Callithrix jacchus: one gene and its partner. The protein of the gene in region 2 purifies or fractionates together with the protein of the main gene of each other region. This does not show direct contact. Links are inferred from orthologs where the notes say so. Each region holds a gene or a part of one and is shown on either strand. Other genes may lie near its edges. The genes, in order: CSTF2T and CSTF3.

Region 1 (4,567 bases), on a different chromosome or scaffold from region 2:
CAAATGGACACCTTCTGTACATGAAAGCCAGACAGATACCAAGAAGCTGAGAGCTTTACTTAATGAATGAAACCTTCCACTAGTTATGAAAAGTAAAATACCATGTATAACTCATCGAGCTTAACTGGTCTCTAGACACTGATTTTTGGGAAGGATGTGAGAGAATTACTGACTCAGATTTAGGGTTGAAAGACTATTGAGAAACAGGAAGGTATTGAAAGATTATTAGGTTCCATCAGAGCAGTCTTAAGTAACCTTGTTGATTTTAGAATTGTCAGAGCAAAATCATCATGTTCAGATGCTGGAGGCCTGGCAGAACCTTGCTGGTCTCCGAAGGATGTGATAAATGAAGCAACATTAAACCAGGTACAGTTCTTAATTTTTCAGGTAACATAACTTTAGAAAAAAACAATTCTAATACAAGTTTAAACTTACCCTATTAACGCTAATGTTTCAAAAATAATTCTAAAGCACTAAGACTATGTTTAACCTATTGCCTCCAAAATAAGATTTTGCATTTTAAATGGTTTACCAAGAAATATATCTTAAACTTTTGAGGTAAACGTCTTTATTTTGTTACACAACCAAAAATCTTAAAACTATCTTAGTACATTAACGTTTTAACAGGTCAACTTTTAGTCTTTAAGAGCAGTTTTCACAAAATTTTACTCCACATTAAAAAAATGTAGTTAACATATTGTGGACACTTTAATATTGCTGCTTATTCTTTCTAATCTTATTTGGCATAGTATCATCATGTTCAGTTATTTTACAGTAACTCAAAGTGAACAGACTCCCCTCCTCCCCCCACCCTCAATTAAAAATAGAAAGAAAAACAGAAAGAAATAAAAAGAACATCAACAACAACAAAAGATTAGGTTCTAGGAGGAGGGAAAACCTAATCAAACTGTCAGGATGCAGAAGTCAGCTTTTTGCACCCATTCTCAATGCTACAGAATAAACTTTCAGACTACAGCCAAGTACTTTCTAAAACCTTTCAAGAAGCTCCAGTAGATTTCTGGATTTGCTCCTTTAAAATCAAGATACTCTGCCTTTGCTCAGGGGGCAGCATGGCAATCTGATCTGCAGTCAATTGAAGAACCTGCATGATCAAAGCTGCCTTTTCCTGATCCTGTGGAGTGACCTGGCTCTGCCCAGGGCTAAAACTGCTAGGCTGGCTTCCACCTTGCTTGCTTGCCCCCTGTATGCCTGCTCCTTGTATTCCCACTCCTTGTATGCCTGCCCCCTGCATCCCTCCTGCTTGTATGCCTGCTCCCTGCATGCCTGTTCCCTGAATACCAGCTCCAGGATTTGCCACCCCTGAAATGCCTGGGACCTGTCTGGGTCCCTGAGGGCCACCTGCCCCTATATTAATGGGACCAGGACCCTGAATTCCAGCAGTCATAGGGCCTCTTGAACTGGGGACAGGGCCCCTCATCTCCAATCCTCTTGCATCCATGCCTCTTGCTTCCATCCCTCTGGTTTCCATCGCACAGGTCTCCATTCCTCTCCTCTCCATCACACGCGTCTCTAAGACCTCAGTTTCCATGGCGCGAGTCTCCATCGCTCGAGAGTCTCTATTACCTCTGCCATCCATGGGTAGACCCCTTTGATCTATCATGGGGCCTCTGGGCTCTCCAATTAGCAGTCTGGGATCTCCCAATGGCGCTCCCCTCATCTCATGGGAGGAAGGGCCACGGGTGTCATGACCAGAAACATGATGCATGGGGGGACCCTGATGGGGTGGGCCCAGATAACCTCTGGGCTCCACTTCTCCAGTGACTGAAAGCAAAGTCCCTCCACGTGGGTCATTTGGAGCATCTCCTAACAGTCCTCGAGGAGGCAGGCCACCAGGAGTCATGGGTCCACGAGGTATAGGAGCTCTAGGATCTGACATCTGCACTTGTCCTCGCTCTAAAGGCACTGGGCCAACCCCTGGCATTCCAACTTGGGGCTGCATTGCTCCTCCAGGAGTTAAGGAACCAGGACCAGGTCCGGGAACTGCAGCTGGTATTGGCCCCGGAGCTGGAATTCCACCCTGGATAGGAGTCTGCATCAGAGGAGGAATGTCCTTCACAGGTCTTCTAGCCAAATGCTGAGGCTGAGGGGCTGGAGGATTCTGCTGGTTCAGCAGAACATTAGGACCTGGGCAGAGCCCAGGGCCAGGGCCAGGACCAGGGCCAGAGCCAGAGACAGACACAGCCTGAGATTTGCCCGGGATCAGTGGTGTGACATGTATCTTCCGATGCAGAATTTTCAGAGCAATCTCTGGATCCATGATTCTCATCACTACCTGTGCCTGCAACAGGGCATAAGCCAGTTGCGGATTTTGAAGTAACATGTTTCGAGCCTCCTGGTGGCTGTTTTGGACACAGAGCTTCATCTGCTTCATGAGCTCAAACATTTGCTCTGGGGGGAGACTGGCTACTGCTCTGGTAATCGATTCAGGGGCATCTTCTGGATCGATGGGATCCCCATAGGGTGAGTCAATAATGGGCGCTGCAGGCCCGAGGCTCTTTAACTCCTCCTTATTCTTTTCACTGGCAGCATTGTCCACCCGAAGCGCTCTCCCACTGAACTCCCGCCCATTGAGGTTCCGCATGGCACTAAGCGCGGTCTCCTGGTCTTGGTATTCGCAGAAGCCATAGCCCTTGGGTTTTCCCGTCTCTCTATCGTATACCAGCCGGAAACTGACAACAGAACCAACCTCCGAGAAAATGTCCTTTAACTGCTCCTCAGTTGCCTCATACGGAATGTTTCCCACGAACACTGAACGCAGTGATCGATCCATTGCCGGGTCTCTCACCGCCAAACTCGACATGATTCCGGTTGTGCGCACAGCCGATAGCGGATTCTTCGAGGTGTCTGTCCTCTTGCGATCGGCACTTCCGCTGAGCAACGGAAGCGGCTCTCAATATCCGGGCAGAAACCTTACTAATTCGCTTGAATCGTTCCGCTTGCCTGTGGAACCTGCATCCCACTAACAACTAATGCTTTCCGTCCCTGATTCTTCGTGGTTCTGTCAGCTTTTTGTCACAGGAGTCGCAAGATTCCTTTCCCATTTCATTTTAGGCCGACTTTCTGTGGAGTCCTAACAGCCCCACTACGACAGGCTTGGTACGAGATGACCACAGTAAAGATGGCCACATAGACTTCACCAAGGTAACTGGGAAGGGACGCCTCCCTTGACGTCAAAAGCGGTTTTGTTTCCGTTCCACCGGCGGGAAACCGCCAACCGAAAGCTGATTTAAGGCGCCGTGTTTTTCGCTCTGACCAAGTATTTTCATATGGCCGTTTATTATAGTATAGTTAAGCTATATTTAAAATTACATTCCAGACCGAGGCAAAAGTGTAGTTGTTTTAAGGCAAATTTGAGATTTGCCCCTTAAAGTAAAACAGTATTATCTCCTTTTTAAAACAACAACGTTTTTGGAAATTAACTGCCAAGAATTATAAACCGAAGCGTGTGCCGGCTGGGCCCCGCTCCCACTCTGTTGCTTCCTGTAACTGCTGTTAATGGATGAGGGGCAGATCCTTCTAGGTTTTTCCTGAGCACAGGGGCAGTTCCTAATATTACGATTTTGTTCCTTAATAGTATTAACTGATTTAAATATTATTGGTGATTAAATAAGTGATTAGTTATAAGCATTTTATGGCTTCATAGTATGGAATAATGAAATATACTTTATTATTCCTATATTGATTGGTTCTAATTTTTATTATATGATGCAGTGAGTCCACCACTTCTATGAAAGGGTAAACAAATAGTGGGTGTTTCTCTTCTGCTGTTAGTTTTGCAGGGTTTACCCCCACCTTAATTCAAAGATAGAACTGAAGCTCGGAGAGGGCTAGATCAGTTGCCCAAGAACAAGCAGTCGGTAAGAGGCAAAGCCAGGATTCTAGCCCAGGTTGGTCTCACATAGCTCCAGATCTACGCTGTCTCCTTACATGTATTGAATATTTGAAATGCAGCTAGTATGATTGGGGAATTTAAATTTCTAAATGAAATTTTAAATTTAAATTCCTCAATCCTAAATTTTAAATTTAAATTTCTTAAAATTAAAATTTTTAAATTTCAAATGAAATTTTTAAATTTCATTTTTTATTAATTTAAATATAAAAACTAATGTTCAGTAGGCTATTGGAAAACTTTTTTAGTATTTGGAACAACTTGAGTGTAGAATCTGTTTTTGTAATAATTGTGTTCTAAATAAAAATTATTTCACAGAACACTAAGACAAAAAATAAAAATAAAGTATTTCCAGTCAAAATTTAACACTACGGTTGAGGTATGCCATGCATATAAAATACATGAACGATTTTAATAAATACAAAAAAAGTCAAAATAGCTCATCAATTTTATATTGTTTTAAAATTGAAATGTAGTGTTTTTAATGGATTAAAAAATTATTTTGAAATTAATGTTATTTTACTTTTTAAAATGTGGCTATTAGAAAATTTTAAATTATATGTATAGATTGCGTTATACATCTGTGGACTGGACTGCTCCAAGCCTGTGCTTTAAAACATAATTATTTTATTCTGAAATATAATATGCCTTTTAAGT
Region 2 (3,010 bases):
TCTCTGGACAATTTGCATGACAAATTTTTGTTCACTGTAATTAGAATTAGTTAAATAGATGTCATTTTCCTTAATGCTATTTACGTTTAGCTCATGGGAAAAAATGTTCTTGAGCACTGGGCACCTTTGAAAATATACAAGTTGAGTATCCCTAATCTGAAAATCTGACATCCAAAGTGTTTCAAAATCTAAAACTTTTTGGGTGCCAACATGATGCACAAAGAAAATACTCAGTGGAGATTTTTGGAGTTTGGACTTTTGGATGAGGGATAGTAAACTGGTAAGTATGATGCAAATATTCTGAAATGGAAACAAATCCAAAATCCTGAATACTTCTGGTCCCAACTCTGTGAGAACAAGACAGCAGGAGGTTAAACAAATTACCACACTTAGGTTGCTTTCAAGAGAGAGAAAAGATAACAGGATCTTAATCCGTCTCAGACTTACTGGGGAGCAAATGCATTCATATTTGAGGATTTCTAAAATATTTAATTTGCCTCTTAAAAATGTTTTTAGTAAAAAAAAAAAAAACCAGGAAAGAGTGTGTGATGCAGCCTACATTTAGTAAATACAAGATGACTTTTCCTTGTACTGACATTTATTTTTAAATGGTATTGAACAAATAACATAAGTAGTTATTATAAATAAAATCTGAAAGATGCACAGGAAGCATGATGTTTCTGAATCCTTTTATTTTTTAAAGGACTTTTAAAATTTCAAACTACAAAACAGATTTCATACATTCTGCCATAAATAAAAACAAACAATAAGGCAGGACTCTACATAAGCAAACCAAGAACAATTGTTTTTCAGGAAATGTGACAAAATGCTTTACAATCATAAGCCATCCAGTTTTTAAAATAAAACTGTTGAAAAACTCACAAATCTTCAAGCGGCACATACAAGACACCCTTGAAGAGGGAACAAAATGTGGTTCTGCCATTTTGTACTGTTCTCACATTTTTGAAAACCTAAATTTTGCTTAGAGCATAGGTCTGTTCCATATTCTAAAATTCACACAGGTTGGTTTGTTTTTTCCCAAGAACCATATGATAGAGGCACCAATGACAATACAACTTTGTTTCCAAGAACCTTGTAACAAAGCGTTGTCTCTTTTAAACATACGACTTGAGGCAAAAAGGGAATCCTGGACAGGAGTTTTCTTGCAGAGGCGTTTTAAGCCCTACCGAATCCGCTTCTGCTGCCGTGCTCTGTAAATGTCATGAACAGGCGGGACAACGGCTCCCTTTTCTTCATCTTCATCTGAATCCTCATTGGGCCTTTTGACAGCCTTGGTGAGTACTGCATTACTTTCCACTGGGCCGTTGCCTTCTACAGCTAGCTCTGGGGCCCCACCGGTAATAATCCTCACAGCTTCCTCAACAGCTATTAAAACAACAAAATGTAAAAACATATTCCACTAGGAAAGGGTATGTATGTTCAGCTGTGGATACTTATAGTTCACTTCATAGCCTACTATTTTAGCAAAATATGGGATGGTACTACTGATGCTAAATAATTAAAGGAAAAGACAAAAGCACTAATAAAGTTATTTTCATAAGCCAAGTCTGATAGTGCATGTTCACCTGAATAGAAAAGATAAGCTTTTATGACATTTTATTTAGTGGAATTCAATATGAATAAGCCTCTCTCTGCCAGAGAGGGTTTGGATAACTCCTGGGTTTCAGTGCACTTCAAGTTGACTGGCTGTTTTTGTAAACTTAAGTGGCAAAGAATAACAGTGTCCTCCGCCTATGAGACAGCAATGTGGAATGACACTCTGAAATGGAGTTTCCGTTACTTACTATTTGGTATCTTGCATCTTCGGAAAATTTCCATCAGTTCGTCCACTTGTACAAAGGGACCCTATTTTGACATGAATAAATTTTAATCCCTAGTAATCTGATAAGTTGAAGTAGCAATAACTTTGTACAGTTACTGTAACCCACAGAGCCAGTATCTACCATGAAAATAATAAACAAACCTGGAAACAGATAGGAGGAGGGAGAAGTTTCATTAAAACAACAGCTGCAGGGGGGACTGGGAACACTCCACCAGGTACAGGATGTAAGCCTGGAGCTGTCAGAAAAAGAAAAGTATGAATCAAGTAGGATGGAAGAGTTTCTGCAAAGAGCTAAAATAATGTGACTTGCACATAAAGATCTTCCATGCTATGCTGCTTTGTTCTGGACATTTAAGTTGCTTCTAGTGATTTACGAAACCAAAGCAGTTGAGACAGTGAGAGCTGTCTCAACGCCATGGCCACGAGGAGGCAGAGAAGTACACAAGTGACTTTGTACAAGACCAGGGCTGAACTAAAGTCAATTTTTGTCAAAGACGTTTTCTGAGTTGCACAAGTCATTTGTTCAGCAATCCTGTTTCAAGTCAATTATTCAACAACATATTTAATCAGAAGGGCCTTGTTCAAAAATAATCTAGAGAGGCTACTAACTTGAGAAGAAGTTTGGCTCTTGTTGCCCAAGCTGGAGTGCAACGGCACGATCTTGGCTCACTGCAACCTCTGCCTCCCGGGTTTAAATAATTCTCCTGCCTCAGCCTCCCAAGTAGCTGAGATTACAGGCACTCACCACCATCCCCAGAAAATGTTTGTATTTTTAGCAGAGACAAGGTTTCACCATGTTGGCCAGGCTGGTCTTGAACTCCTGACCTCAGGTGATTCACCCGCCTCAGCCTCCCAAAGTGCTGGGATTACAGGCTGGGATTGAGCCACTGCGACCGGCCATAGCAGCATTTCTGAAAACCAAGTATCACTGCCAGATGGGTTCCTGGAATCTGGATCATTGAAGTTTTGTTTTTAGGACGTTCTTAGTTAATCTGGTTCAAAGATTAAAGCTAAGTTACTTGTCATAGTGACCCTAAGTTTAATAATTAACCCATAATTGAGAGGCAGTGTCACTTTACCCCCACACCTTGGATTTAAATCAACAAACAAATCGAGGTCTCAGTACTGGATCTAAAGTCATGGCTTACGTGCTAAATGTCGTGGCTG

Evidence for each region.
Region 1: the proteins of CSTF3 (region 2) and CSTF2T purify together in Homo sapiens (co-immunoprecipitation; 4 studies listed by BioGRID and IntAct, counting the BioPlex papers as one, with this or other methods). This does not show direct contact. The link is inferred for Callithrix jacchus from reciprocal best matches to the Homo sapiens genes CSTF3 and CSTF2T.

The regions. Positions count from the first base shown.
Region 1 is NC_133513.1:78,568,846-78,573,412, reverse strand, and holds CSTF2T (cleavage stimulation factor subunit 2 tau variant), read right to left. Parts: upstream 2,891-4,567; 5' UTR 2,822-2,890; coding exon 998-2,821; 3' UTR 552-997; downstream 1-551. UniProt on the Homo sapiens protein: May play a significant role in AAUAAA-independent mRNA polyadenylation in germ cells. Directly involved in the binding to pre-mRNAs.
Region 2 is NC_133511.1:98,463,086-98,466,095, forward strand, and holds the end of CSTF3 (cleavage stimulation factor subunit 3), read right to left. Parts: coding exon 2,992-3,010; intron 2,080-2,991; coding exon 1,985-2,079; intron 1,867-1,984; coding exon 1,806-1,866; intron 1,387-1,805; coding exon 1,184-1,386; 3' UTR 678-1,183; downstream 1-677. UniProt on the Homo sapiens protein: One of the multiple factors required for polyadenylation and 3'-end cleavage of mammalian pre-mRNAs.